2 linked regions of the Oryctolagus cuniculus genome follow. The protein of the gene in region 1 purifies or fractionates together with the protein of each later gene. This does not show direct contact. Links are inferred from orthologs where the notes say so. Each region holds a gene or a part of one and is shown in the gene's direction. Other genes may lie near its edges.

Evidence for each region.
Region 2: the proteins of BTRC (region 1) and WWTR1 purify together in Homo sapiens (affinity purification with western blotting; 8 studies listed by BioGRID and IntAct, counting the BioPlex papers as one, with this or other methods). This does not show direct contact. The link is inferred for Oryctolagus cuniculus from reciprocal best matches to the Homo sapiens genes BTRC and WWTR1.

The regions. Positions count from the first base shown.
Region 1 is NC_091446.1:28,390,408-28,397,990, reverse strand, and holds part of BTRC (F-box/WD repeat-containing protein 1A), read left to right. Parts: intron 1-3,127; coding exon 3,128-3,314; intron 3,315-7,583. UniProt on the Homo sapiens protein: Substrate recognition component of a SCF (SKP1-CUL1-F-box protein) E3 ubiquitin-protein ligase complex which mediates the ubiquitination and subsequent proteasomal degradation of target proteins. Recognizes and binds to phosphorylated target proteins.
Region 2 is NC_091435.1:131,933,481-131,941,063, forward strand, and holds part of WWTR1 (WW domain-containing transcription regulator protein 1), read left to right. Parts: intron 1-5,433; coding exon 5,434-5,660; intron 5,661-7,583. UniProt on the Homo sapiens protein: Transcriptional coactivator which acts as a downstream regulatory target in the Hippo signaling pathway that plays a pivotal role in organ size control and tumor suppression by restricting proliferation and promoting apoptosis.

The DNA.
Region 1 (7,583 bases):
TATACTTAGAAGGCTCTGTTTAGGGGCTGGTGCTATGGCACAGTAGGCTAAGCCTCTGCCTTGGCACTGGCATCTCATATGGGCGTCAGTTCATGTCCTGGCTGCGCCTCTTACAATCCAGCTCCCTGCTATGGCCTGGGAAAGCAGTAGAAGATGGCCCAAGGTCTTGGGCCCCTGGACCCATGTGGAAGACTCGGGAGAAACTCTTGGCTCCTGGCTTCAGACCAGCCCAGTTCTGGCCATTGTGGCCATTTGGGGAGTGAAGCAGAAGATGGAAGATCTCTCTGTATCTCCTTCTCTCTGTAAATCTGCCTTTCAAATAAATAAATATTAAAAAAAAAAAAAAAGGCAGCGGCTCTATATAAATGATACTTAAATACTTTTCTGGGATTTTTCTTAATGCTTACTGGTATTCTAGAACACTACAAAGTTACCAGTATTTGGAGGGAAAGTTTTTGTAGGAAAATAAAAGATTCTCTTATGTGTTAAAGAGTATAAACTATTGGCCGGCTCCACGACTCACTTGGCTAATTCTCCGCCTGCGGCACCGGCACCCCGGGTTCTAGTCCCGGTCGGGGCGCCGGATTCTGTCCCAGTTGCTCCTCTTCCAGTCCAGCTCTCTGCTGTGGCCCGGGAAGGCAGTGGAGGTTGGCCCAAGTGCTTGGGCCCTGCACCCGCATGGGAGACCAGGAGGAAGCACCTGACTCTTGGCTTCCGATCAGGGCAGCGTACGGGCCGTAGCAGCCATTTAGGGGGTGAACCAACGGCAAAGGAAGACCTTTCTCTCTGTCTCTCTCTCTCACTGTCTAACTCTGCCTGTCCAAAAAAAAAAAAAAAGAGTATAAACTGTAAAAATAAGAATATAAACTATAAAAATAACATGTCCCAGAATCCCGCCATTCAGAGAGAACTACTATTAAGTCTTCCAAAAGGGCTGGCACTGTGGTGTAGCAGGTAAAGTCGCTGCCTGCAGTGCCGGCATCCCAATTGGATGCTGGTTCAAGTCCCAGCTGCTCCACTTCCAATCCAACTTTCTGCTATGGCCGGAAAGCAGTGGAACATTGCTCAGGTGCTTGGGCTCCTGAACCCTCGTAGATCTTAAAAAAAAAAAAATGTTTTGCACTTGTGCCATCCTCCACTGCTTTCCCAGGCCATAGTAGAGAACTGGATCGGAAGAGGAGCAGCCAGGACTCGAACCGGCACCATATGGGGTGCTGGCACTGCAGGAGGCGGCTTTACCCGCTACTCCACAGCACTGGCTCCCCAGAAAATAGCCACTTCTTAAAGCCGAATTTTATCTGTATCTTTTATTAAATAGATTTTTGCCCCCTCTTCACTCACTGGCTTTTGTTTTAGCCACAGGCGAGTAGTTTTCTTTGTACAGTCTGTGTGTACCTCATTACTGTGTTTTCCCCAGTCACTGAGACATACTACTATCTCAAGCTTACACTACTAAGAATTGAACAGGAGTTGATGAGACCTGCGTATTCTTTGTTCCATACTGATCCCCACAATGTGTCTGCTGACCACTCGGTGAGGTATTAAATCATCAGTTTAATGCTTTATGGACATTTAAACTTAGAAACCTACACCATCTGGCTACGTTTAGTAAACCATCTACTTCAGAAATGCCTCTAATCCATTAATGTAATGGTTTTGTTTGGAGTGTTTGGTGAAATTACTTCCCAAGACTTATGGGTACGTAGTAAGTGATCAGGAGCAACTTGATGTCAGCTACTAAAACACAGGAAGGTGTTTTGGCAACTTGTGACGGCGGAGACACTTCCAGTGTAAAGATTCAGGAATTGTGCCATCACTGGATTTTACATGATGTATTTTATAAGTCCTGTGTCTGTAATTGGCTTATCATCATGTTTCTTTAATAAGAATTAGGTGATGGATGCCTCCATCTGCTTATGCTTAAATATGAACATGTGATGCCAGCCAAACAAGATCCGTTTAATGCCTTCTTTCCCAAGTCTGCTAGAAGATGTGACTGATATCCATACAATCTTTATAATTAGAAAAATGTTTAAGCATAGTTGGATTGTTGCTAATCACATCAAAGTGTGTCTGTATAATTTGGGGAAAGGCACAAAAATGAAATGTGGTGCTCTCCTGTTTGTTAAATTTATGTCTACTGGAGTCAGGGCATAATGGAATCCTTCTGAACTATTTAAGTCTTTGTAATATATAACCTGTAAAGAGAAATAGCCTTCATTGTTTTTGACTCGTTTTTGAACTTAGAACAGAAGCCCAAAGATTTTTTTAGTGCGATCATCCTGTCGTGTAGGAGCTTTTCCACTGGGACCCCAGTGCAGATTTGAGTGGCTGTCAGGTTTACCCAAGCCAAGATCTACTCTTTACTCTTTTCCTCTGCACATCCTGCAGAATATCCTCTGAGATGCTTACCAAGTTGTCTATTGGTCTGGATTTTTTTTTCCACTTTTGGTCAACTGTCATTTAGGTTTTATAGCAGCAGCTATTCTCACACAGCTTTTTTTTTTTTTTTTTCTTTTTTGAAACATCTGAAATGAAGCATACCTCACTTTCTTTCCTCTTGGGGTATTCCTATACCATTCTGTATTTCCTTCTTCTCCTCCTTTCTGCATGCCCCAAATTCTATAACCCAGCACATTCTGCCTTAGTGTTTCTCCCCCAGTACATTTAAAGGATATTTCTTCTACTGAATAGCTTTGGAATTGCAGCAGTAATAGAAACAGAATGAGAAATGGACCTAATATAGAGATTTGGGGGGGTCTGAATCAGAGTTTGAGATGCCATCCACAGAACATCCCCTAGTGCTGAAATCCATATAGATAGATGTGAATTGTTTTCTGGAATCCTTTTTATTTTTAATGTCTTGGAGGGGTTGCTGGTTGTTAGCTTTAACTTCCTTATCTAAAGGAAGATGGAAAATACTGTTCATTTCTGTAACCTTATGGAAAAATTATTGACACTCATTTTACCCAAGCCTCTGTTTGAAAGAGCAACTGGACTACGCTGGGGACAATGATATGCCTTCATAATAGAACAAATGCTATTCTGTTTTAAAGGACCTTTTGTGAAAAATCATTCACTATCCCCTTTATTCTTTCTCTTTGCCTTCTCCCCTCCCCACTGAAAGCACGGGGTTTGGATCATATTGCTGAGAACATTCTGTCATACCTGGATGCCAAATCGTTATGTGCTGCTGAACTTGTGTGCAAGGAATGGTACCGAGTGACGTCTGATGGCATGTTATGGAAGAAACTCATCGAGAGAATGGTCAGGACAGATTCTCTGTGGAGAGGCCTGGCAGAACGAAGAGGGTGGTGAGCCTTTTAACTTGCTTAACAATCAGAGAGTGTTAGGGCCCAGCCGTCTTGCCACTGGAAGGTTGTTGGGAACAGTGAACCAATCACTTACCACTTACTACAGTGATTTTACTGATTTGCAGCTAAAAATAGAAAATAGTTGCTCATGCACTCAGCGGTTTTTCTTCTGACCCGTCACTCATAAAATGACATCACAATGTGTTAATATTGCTTGGCAAAAAATAATAGAACACTGACCAGCCATCCTGTTTCTCTAGGCAGAAATTAGTATCTTGCAGAAGGGCTGATAAGTAATTTATAAGGCAAGCAAATGAGTTTGAATCACATGGAAGCCATCAGATCAAGCTTTCCTCTGTAAAAACCCAGGACAAGTGAGCATTTTGTTTTTTCAGATTTCTTGCCTTTAGCCCATTCCTCCATTTTTTTTACCTTTGTAACAAAAGAGTATATTTTATGTCCAACTAAAATAAGAACTCTAGCTGTCAGAAAGAATAAAAAAATTAGTATAAATCATTATTTCTTCTTAAGATTTGGGTTTTCTCGTGATTTCTTACTTCATTTTGAATTCACTAAGGTTATTATACTCATATGCATGGATCTAAAAAAAATTTTTACCAAGATACACTTAACTTTAATTCTGTTTTCTGTAAACTTTGAAGTACCCTCATGTAGTTAGAGCCTAAGAGATTTCACCAGTTTTGTTGTTGTTCTCTTAACCATTCATTAGAACTTCTGGTAACCTCTTTCTTTATATAATTTTCTTCCTAAGTATGTTTCTAGAATGGTACTATATGAAGTCAAGCATGAGTCATTCATTAAGAAAGGTGACATAATAAATGTTTTAGCTGATAGAAAGACTGATAATAGGTATATGCATATTCATTTTTGCCCTTCCAACTTAATTTTTAAGTTGTTTATCTGGATCATAAAGAGATCTAAAACAGTTAAGAATGGAGAATACTTTTTAAAATACGCGCTTTGGATTAGAATTTTCACCAAAATCTAACTATCCCCCTTTTTTTCTGTCTTTGAAATTCATTAACACGTGATATATATATATGTGTGTGTGTGTGTGTGTGTGTGTGTGTGTGTATATACCAACTGCTTCAGAGATTTCAATCATTCTAGCAATTAAAAAGACTTAAAAATTTTTCCTCTCAATGAAGGGAATGAAACACCAAAGAGATCTTTGTCTATGTAATAATTGTATAAAAAAGATGTGGCATTGTGGCATAGCGGGTGACGCTGCCATCTGTGACACCGTCATCTCATATGGGTGCAGATTTGTATCCTGGCTGCACCATTTCCAATCCAGCTCCCTGCTAATGGCCTGGGAAAAGCAGCAGAAGATGGCCCAAGTGGTTGGGCCCCTGCCACTCATGTGGGAGACCGGAGAATGCTCCTGGCAGACAGCAGATGATGGCCCAAGAACCTGGGTTCTTGCCAACCAAGAGGGAGATCCAGATGGGAGTTCTGGGATCCTGGCTTCAGCTTGGCTCAGCCCTACCATTGTGGCCATCTGGGGAGTGAACCAGCGGATGGAAGACCTCTCTCTCCCCGCCTCCCACTCCCCCCATCTTTCTCTGTAATTTGAACTTTAAAATAAATAATCTTTTTTTAAATTTATTTGAGAGACGGAGTGACCAAGAGTGAGGGGAGGGGATCTTCTGTCCTCAAGTTCACTTCCTGAATGTCTGCAACAGCTAGGGCTGGGCCAGGCTGAAGCCAGGAGCCCAGAACTCCCATCTAGATCTCCCTCATAGAGAACCCAGGTTCTTGGGCCATCATCCGCTGCCTCTCAGGAACATTAGTAGAAAGCTGGATCAGAAGAATAATAGTCAGGTCTTTCCACTGGGATCTCACTCGCGGAGATCCTTCATTTAGGTCTTTTTTTTTTGCCAGAGTTTCTTGGCTTTCCATGCCTGAAATACTCTCATGGGCTTTTCAGCTGGATCACCTAGCACTCTGATATGGAATGCCAGTATCACAAGCTGTGGCTTAACTGTCTGTACCACAACACCCTTCCAGAAAATAAACTCTTAAGGTGTATAACAAAGAAACTAAGTATACAGTTAGGTACAGAAAATAAATGCTTTACATGTATAACAAAGAAACTAAGTATATAGTTAGGTCCAGAAAATAAACTCTTAATGTGTATAATAAAGAAACGAAGTATACAGTTAGGTGACATTCAGAGTCCATTTTGCTTAAGTACCTGCACTAGCCTTAGAAATACAGCAAGGGCCGGCGCTGCGGCTCACTAGGCTAATCCTCCGCCTGCGGCGCCGGCACACCGGGTTCTAGTCCTAGTCGGGGTGCCGGATTCTGTCCCGGTTACCCCTCTTCCAGGCCAGCTCTTTGCTGTGGCCCGGGAGTGCAGTGGAGGATGGCCCAAGTGCTTGGGCCCTGCACCCCATGGGAGACCAGGATAAGTACCTGGCTCCTGCCATCGGATCAGCACGGTGCGCCGGCCACAGCGCACTAGCCGCGGTGGCCATTGGAGGGTGAACCAACGGCAAAAGGAAGACCTTTCTCTCTGTCTCTCTCTCTCTCTCACTGTCCACTCTGCCTGTCAAAAAAAAAAAAAAAAAAAAAGAAAGAAAGAAAAAAAAAGAAAGAAATACAGCAAGCAGTTGCTTCCATGGGAAGACTAGAGCAGCTGGGAAAATTTCTCTGCCCCTCAGAACATCACAAAAAACTGTCTTCCCATTAACTACTGACCTGGAATTCAGTTACAGAGGTTCATCCCCTGGGGTATAAAGGTTTTGTTCCCTGTTAAAATACATTTTGTTCCTATTTGAACAGTAAATGACAGTGAGCTTTCAGTAGACATTGAGAGTTTATGAAGTCTCCTTTTGCAGGCAGGGAGAACAGGAAATGGGCAGTCTTAGCAGATGGCTGTGAAAATGCCAGAAGTAAAAGCAGGCTCCCCAGTTTTGCTTAGGGCTGGCACTAAGCCGAAATCGACAGTAGTTACAGAGAACGCAAAACTAGTATCACTGGAAAGATGACGTTTGGCCTTTGAAAAAAGTGTGTGATAGTCTAGCTAAAAATTATCCAGGGTTCAGCACCAATTGCCACTCTTTCCTGTCTCTTCACAGAAACCCATGCCTGCCTGGTTTCTTCTTTGTCTTTGACCATATTTGTCTTCTTGATTAGGCCCCATGAAGTTGCAAATGCTTGTTCACCCTGTTAAGACCTCCAGTACTCGCCTGACCTTCTTGTTGCTACTTCCGTTTCTACATGTTGCCTTTTTTCCCTGTTAGTTTTCCTCCTTTACTTTTTAAAAATAATCTGTGATCGGCTTCTCAATTTCTTCTCTGAAGTGGTCTTAGCAAGCCTGCTGCATTGACAAAGCCTTTCTGGTTATACCCTGCCCCATGTGCTGTCTGTGAAAGTGTCTCCCACTTCTTCTAACCAGAAATGAATAAACAGATACAGGGTTTTGTTTTGTTTTTAGAGATTTATTTATTTATTTGGAAACCAGAGTTACAGAGAAAGAGGGAGAGAGGTCTTCCATCTGCTGGTTCACTCCCCAAGTGGCCACAGTGGCTACATCTGGGCCAGTCCAGAGCCAAGAACTTCCTCTGGGTTTGCCACATGGGTGCACTTGGGCCATCCTCCACTGCTTTCCCAGGCACATTAACAGGGAGCTGGATCGGAAGTGGAGCAGCAGGGACTCAAACTGGTACCCATATGGGATTCCAGGATTGCAGGTAGAGGCTTTACCCACCACGCCACAGCACTGGCCCCTGTAGTTTTGTACTAAAGCTTTGGATCACTAAGATTTAGCTTCCACTCTGCCACTGTGTTTGGTTTTATTTCTTGTGATTTTTTTTTAAAGACTTATTTATTTATTTATTTGAAAGGCAGAGATAGAAAAGGAGAGAGAGAGAGAGAGAGAGAGAGAGAAAGTATCTTCTACTCACTGGCTCACTCCTCAAATGGCCACAATGGCAGAGCTGGGCCAGGCCAAAGCCAGGAGACAGGAGCTGCTTCTGTGTCCCTGACATGAATACAGGGCCTCAAGTACTTGGGGCCATCTTCTGCTGCTTTCCCAGGTGCATTAGCAGGGAGCTGGATTGGAAGTGGAGAGCAGCGGGGGCTCAAATGTCTGCTGACGCTGCAGGCAGAGGCTTAACCTTCTACAGTACACCACAGGCCCCAGCCACTGTGTTTTATGTCTAGGTGGATTTGATAGTCTGCCCCAGGACATGAACTCTGCTGTTTTCTCTCTTAAATAATACTGGTTCTGTTCTCTTCCCT
Region 2 (7,583 bases), on another chromosome or scaffold:
CAAACAACAGCAAAAAAAAAAAAAAAAAAAAAAAGGCTGAGGGCGAGGAAGGAGATGAGAACAGTGAAAAAGAAAAAGATAAATGGGGATCTAAATTTAAATTTGACTCTCTTGGAAGGAAAAAGACGCCTTCTTTAGTTTTAATGCATTCCTGCTTCAATGGAGACATCTTCTGTTTGGGTTATTCCTTTCTGTGGGGACTGGCAAAGATCTGGGTCTGACGCGGTCGTTAGCCTTTCTGAGGCCGTTCATGGCAGTCCGCCCGTATGGTTTGGCCTCAGATGCTGCATTTTGCATTTTGGGATACTCTGCCTTGTGTGTGTGTGTGTGTGTGTTTGAACTGTTATTCTCTCCATAAAGTGTTCTGGAATATTATCCCAAGGAGTGTTTTGTTTGTCTCAAAATTAGGGGTTTGGTCTCCCCAGGCTCTCTTGGGGACCTTGTTTCTCTGCCAGGGGCCTCCTGTAGTCCCATTGTCTCCATGGGCTCTGAGAATCTACAGACACAGCCCCCCCCCCCCCCCAAGAATTATTTTATTTATTTGAAAGGCAGAGAGTTACAGACAGAGATGGGGGAAGAAGGCGGAAGAAATCTTTTATCTACTGGTTCACTCCCACTCCCCAAATGGTCTCAGGAGCCAAGACTGGTCCAGGCTGAAAACAGGAGCCAGGAACTCCATCTGGGTCTCCCACATGGGTGCAGGGGCCCAAGCACTGGGCCATCTTTCACCGCTCTCCCAAGTGCATTAGCAGGGAGCTGAATGAGAAGTGGAGCAGCCGGGACTTGAACTGGCACTCACATGGGATGCAGGCATCTCAGGCAGCGACTTGACCTGCTGCTCCACAATGCTGGTCTCAAACATAGTGCAGATGAAGGAATGGCAGTTATTCAAGGGATGGCCATTTCTGAACCCTTGGAAAAAAGCATGTGTGCTTTCTGGATACATTGGCCACCATTGCTTGTGAGCTCTGGTCTCAGACATGACTTAGAAACAGTTAGAAATTGCACAGCTGGAGGGAGCAGAGTTGGCACTGAATTGTGAACTCCTGGATTGAGTCAGGACACCTGGCTTCTAGGACAATGACCATTTTCATGACGTTGGTGAAGTTCCCTGGTTCTTTGGGCTTTGGTTCCTTCTGTTACCAGTTCCAGGTGTGTCTTTCAGAGAGCTTCTCTGTGCGTGCGCACTAAGTGTCCCTTGCTGGTCCCTGCAAATGGGAGCATGCTCTTACTTTCAGTTCTGTCCCTTGGGTTGCTTCCTCTCTGAACAGTGCTTCTTAGAGATTGTTCCTTGTAAGTTCCTATAGAATTCCATCATTCTTTGGAATGCTTATGTAGAATTTCTCTGGATGGACAGACCATAATCTCCCCTTGGTGGACATTAAAGTCATTTTTAGTCTTTGCTATTATAAACAATACCGTGGTGACTGTCTGATTACAACCTGCTCTCTTGGTGTGACTTTATTTTGAAAACAAAGCCATGGTCTACGTTCTGCTCTTTTCCAGACTCCACAGTTAATAACCAGGGATGTTTAGTCTGAATGGTCAAATCTAAATTGAGTGGAAGAAATCAACCTCTCAAGGCTACTCCCTGTGACTGTCTCTGGTAGGGGCTGGGAAGGGTGTGTTTTTGGAAGAGCTTTCCTCCAAGGGAACTCCCCCAGGTAAAGATTTAGTAAGATCTGCTGAGCTTGTCTGGTTGCTGCGTGGAGTTGAGTTAACAGAGGACTGGCTTGGGAGCGAACCCGATACCCTATTTGTACAGGAACAAGCACGTTCTGCCGAAGACACTGAAGACAGCCCTGCTCGAATCTGTCATGTCAGCAAGTTATGAGACCCAAGTCTGTGGCTAAAATTGTTCAAAGAATTAAGAGTCTGTGCTTTTCAAACGTCTTTTTCCTACCCCGGAGTTGTGTGATAGTGAGGATATTGAGCATCTACAAAAGTTGTATCAGAAAAGTAAATATGCTTTTTCCAAAGGGTTTCCATCCTTTGAATACTTGCCATTTCTTCATCTGTGCCTCCCTTCCCTGGCTGGAAGTCGGTTTTATGAATTAAACCTTCTGGACATCTGTTTTTTGTCTTCCTTTGGTCGGTATTTAAGAGCACGCTTTCCCTGTGGCTCCCTGCGTGCGCATTGCTGGCCATCCCACCTGGGCCTTCCAGTCAAGGTTGTAATGTTGCACCCATAAACTCTAGAAGTGAAACACTCAGTGCGGCTACTTTGGCATCAGTCACAATGGATGTTCTCACCCTAAGAGTGTAAAAATGTCCATCTGGTTTCATCCACTCATCAGGTCGGGTACCGAGCTCCCCCTGTGTGTCAAGGATGGTGCCAGGAGGGGAGAGTCCTTTGTGCTGGGCTCAGTTCACAAAGGGGAATCCAGCTGTCTCAACAGTGCACTGTGAATGGTCTCACTTTCCCTAGGTAGCCTGTCACTGAGCTGTGCATCCATCTGTACTCACTTGAATTCTTCCTGTTGCTAATCCCATCTCCTTGCTGTAAGTTGTTCTGGCTTGTAGTCATTTGAAGATGAACCACTGGCCAGGGTGCTGGTGTCGGAGACCTTGAATTTGACGCTGGCAGAGTGGTGGGGTAATGTCCCTTTTCCATAAAATGCAGGCCTGTTATTTCCTGTGAGGGCAGGAGCTACTTATCCAGTGTCAAGCTCAGAGTTGGGCACTCAGTGGGAGTGCAGTAAAGATCAGAGTGAGGGGCTTCACCAGACACTTCAGTGGATGTGTTTGGCCCACCCCACCTCCAGCCTTGGGTGCCATAAGGTGCCGTAAGGGTGCCTGTTGGAGTCCCAGCTGCCCACTTCTGATCTAGCTCCCTTTTGGTGCACTTGGGAAGCAGTGGAGGATGGCCCAAGTCCTTGGGCCCCTGTGTCCATGTGAGGAAGCTCCTAGCTCCTGGCTTTGGCCTGGCCCAGCCCTGGCTGTTGTGACCATTTGGGGAGTGAACCAGCAGATAGAAGATCTCTCTCTGTCTCTCCTCTCTCTTTCTGTGACTCTGGCTTTCAAATAAATAAATCAAAAAAAAAAAAAAAAAAAAAAAGAACATCTTTAGTGTTGCTACTGGTGACAGTTTACAAGGGTACAAAAATAGGATCAATATGTAAGTGTATTTCAGTGCAAAAAAAAATTAAAATCCTTACCTAGTTTTTTCATGAAATACAATGCACTGTTTGAAGACCTCTCGTGCATGTGTGTGTGTGTGTGCATGTATGTACTAAATATGCCACACATTTAATACATGGATGATTGGGCTACTTTAAAATTCATTTAAGAAAATTTACTTAGAAATTGTTTTCACATAATTTCCACAGTAAATTGAAGATATAAAATATTTAACTTTTAAACTTTTATATTAAAATATGTCAATATTTTTATCTTTTATTTAAACAGTGTTTAAAGATGTATTTATTGGGCCAGTGCCGTGGCTTAGTAGGTTAATCCTCCGCCTTCGGCGCTGGCATCCCATATGGGCACTGGGTTCTAGTTCTGGTTGCTCCTCTTCCAGTCCAGCTCTCTGCTGTGGCCTGGGATGGCAGTGGAGGATGGCCCAAGTCCTTGGGCCCCTGTACCCGCATGGGAGACCAGGAGGAGATTCCTGGCTCCTGGCTTTGGATCGGCACAGCTCCGGCCGTTGCGGCCATTTGGAGAGTGAACCAACGGAAGGAAGACCTTTCTCTTCGTCTCTCTCTCACTGTAAATTCTACCTGTGAAAGGAAAAAAAAAAAGATATATTTATTTAGTTGAAAGGCAGAGTGACAGAGAGAGAGAAGGAGAGATGGAGAGAAATAGAGAGATCTTCTGTCCAGAGGTTCACTACCCAAATGTGTACAATAGCTGAAGCTAGACCAGGCCAAAGTCAGGAGTCAGGAACTCCATCTGCAGGCTCTCATGTGGGTGGCTGGAATCCACATATTTGGGGCCATCATCTGCTGCCTCCCAGGCTCATTAACAGGAAGCTGGATTGGAAGTGGATTCGACATGGGATGTGGGTATCCCAAATGGTGGCTTAACCCACTGTGCCACAGTGCCTGTCCCAATATTTTTGTCTTTGGTAGTGATACCAAGTATAGCAAAAATTGAGGTTGTCCTCTCTTCCCCCCACCCCTGAAAATGAAGTGAGGTTATAAAATTATACCTTGCTGTCTTTGGCGCTGACCTAGGAGCAAATAGATGGAAAAATTTTGTTTTCGTTATTACATGATATTGCCTAGGCAGAATTGAAGCAAATTTGAATGGTCAGTTGTTTTGAGAAAAACTAGCACTTTTAGAAATGCATTAAAAATGAAAATAAATAATTTTGTGGCAGTTCCAATTATAGCATTATTAGAGTTCAGACTCTTTTTTTAAAAGACTTTATTTATTTGAAGGACAGAGTTACAGAGAGAGGCAGAGAGAGAGAGAGAGAGGTCTTCCATCCACTGATTCACTCCCAAAATTGCTGCAATGGTCTGAGCTGAGCTGTTCCTAAGCCAGGAGCCTGGAGCTTCTTCCAGGTCTCCCACATGGGTGCAGGGGCCCAAGGACTTGGGGCCATCTTCTGCTGCTATCCCAGGCAATAGCAGAGAGCTGGATTGGAAGTGGAGCAGCCAGGATTCGAACAGGCACCCAGATGGGATGCCAGCGCTGCAGGCCAGGGTTTTATCCTGCTGCGCCACAGCGCCAGCTCCCAGTTTTTTCTAAAGTAAAGTTGTATATGCCGAAATTTCACATGTTGGTAAATGCTGATAAATAGAGGAAACTTTAAAAGTTGAGAACACTTCTAGCATCTTTATCCAGTCACAAACAGGCTTAGCATTGCTATGTACTTTCTTTCTCACTGATTTTTCCCTTTGCAGAAGCTCAGCCTTCTTTGGGGTTCCCTTTGTAGCCCGGGCATTAACGAGTCCTACCCAGGTGTGGGTTCCTGACCTGGGTGCTGTGATGGATATGTTGCTTGGCAGTTCACCCGTCCACCCCAGCAATGGCTGTGGACCCAGCACGTGCTGATGAGCGTGTCCTCTCCTCAGCTGTGCCATACACATGTGTGTAGGTTGTCTGAGAAAGTGCACACACCCCCACCAAGATGACGCGGTGGAATTAGCTCATAATTCCTGTTAACCCTCGTGGAATTTGCTTTTTTGCCAGTGTGTTCTGTGTGAGGCTTAAAATGGGCTCCACCCGCAGGGAAGGTGTGAAAGAAGATTTTTCGTAGAACCCAAAAGCTTACTAGATGAGTCAGGAGTGGGGCCGCTTCCTGACCCTCCATGAATTGAATGAAGGTAATAATTACTTAGACAGTAATGATTAACAGGAAAGATCTTTGGAAGGAATCTTGGGAATGTGTACTGCGAAGCACAGAGCATTCTGATGGTCTCTTTCTGATAAGGTCCCGCAGGCCCTGGTGGGTAACCTCCTGTCTGTTTTTCCCTCCTGTAGTGATGAATCACCAGCACCAGCAGCAGATGACCCCCAGTACCCTGAGCCAGCAGAGCCGCCCTCCTCAGAACCCACCGGCGGGGCTCATGAGCATGCCCAGCGCGCTCACCACTCAGCAGCAGCAGCAGCAGCAGCAGCAGCAGCAGCAACAGCAGAAACTGCAGCTTCAGAGGATCCAGATGGAAAGAGAGAGGATTCGGATGCGCCAGGAGGAGCTCATGAGGCAGGTACGGCCTTCTGTGGCGCCTGGTGGAGGCTCTGGGGCCTCGGGTGCCAAGCATGGGTAGCTACTCTCTGCTGCCTGGGTGAGTGCATTTGCCATCTAGAGCCTGACTCTACGTCTTGATGTTAGGGTCAGTTGCCTCCCGTTGTCCGCCTGCATGGTCTTCAGTGCCCAACTTCTGCAAACAGAAAGGCTGGCTGAAGAAGGGTGGCTGCTTTTGGCTCCCACTGCTTCTCATAAGAAGGAGGTAAAGGAGAAAGTAGAGAGAATGTTCCAGTGATCTATAGTGGTGTAACAAGGTATTCCAGCATTTAGTGGCTGAAAATGATAGCCATTTCATTGTACTGCAGTTTTGTGGGTTAGGCCTTTGGAAGAGGCTCAGCTGAGCTCTTCTGCTCTGTGTGGTGATGACCAAGGTCACTTAGTGATTTCAGCTGGGGGCGGGCTGGTCTGCAGGGTCCAGGATGGCCTACTGAAGTGTGTGGCACCATGGTGAGGATTGTTGGACGGTGGGGCTTAGCTGGGACTAAAGCCTAGAGTATCTACACATGCCACCTACAGCATGGCTACCTCAGAGTAGTGGGACCTACTACATGGCAGCTTGGGTGTCCAAGAGACAGTGTTTTGAGGGACAGGAAGTGGCTCTGAAAAGTGTCATGGAGTCACTTTTGCTATGTTCTGATGAAAGCAGTCATGGAGAAGATGGCGGTACAGCAGCAAGGTGTGCTGAGTCGCGCAGAGAGAAATTCATGAATAGAGGGGACAGTCAAGTGATGGAACCACAAAAGGTTGGCTAGAGTGATACGGGAGCACGCCAGAGAGTGCTGGGGTCCACCCCGGGGCAGGTAGAGGTGCCCAGAACTGCAGAAAGAGAACGGAAAAAAAGAACTATTGGGAGGACGACTGCTGCGGCTTCTGCCACCACTGCCACCGCTGCCTCCCACCCACTCTGGGATGGTCAGGAAAGTAGTAGAAGATGGTCCAGGTCCTTGGGCGCCTGCACCCGTGTGGAAGACTGGAAGAAGCTCCTGGCTCCTGGCTTCGGATCAGTACAGCTCAGGCCCATTGCGGCCATTTGGGGAGTGAACCAACGGAAGGAAGACCTTTCTCTCTGTCTTTCCCTCTCACTGTCTGTAACTCTGCCTCTCAAATAAAATCCTTAAAAAAAAAAAAAAAAGAAAGCAGTCATAGGACACCCCCAGATTATAGGAGGTCGTGGAAGGGGTGCGCCACAGAACAAATAACAAAGAATCTGCAGCAATTGGTCATTAGCAGGAAAAAGCGGGAAAATTGAAGGGAGAATAGGAAGGAAAATGGTCGGTATATGAGCTCTGTTAGCATGCTCTGCAAAGCCGCCTGGCCCCGGTCACTCATTCATTCAGTCAACAGAACCACTGCTGTGTGGTCCCCGTGGAGCAGGCTCAGTGCTGTACAAGAATGAATACAAGAGGATCCCTAAAGGAACCCACAGTTTTCTCCCTGCTTCGGTGGTCTGCTCTATGGAAGAATGCAATTTTTCCTTCTGTGTCGCTAAACTAACATAGCTCGTGTTTACAGACCTCGGACATTTTTCTGGCTACGTTTTGGGAAGAAAAGTTTAGTTTATTGGTGCAATTCTTCAGACTTTGCTTTATGACTCACATGAAGCAAGATATATGGGTAGCTTCCTTCTGCTCCTTTTGGGAAATTAGTTTTAACCGTTCCAGAAAGTTTTATTGGAGCGGGGAGGGGTGTGTGTTAGGTTAAATACTTTTTTTTTTTTGGTTTTATCTGATACTTCCAAAAATAGACTTCGACTTCTATAAATGAATAATGTATTTCTTATCCATCAATGAATAATGTATTTTTCATCGAATAAAATCTAGAATATAAAGTACTCATGTTGGGTGTAGTTAAAATACATGGAAAATTAAAACAATTTCTTAGG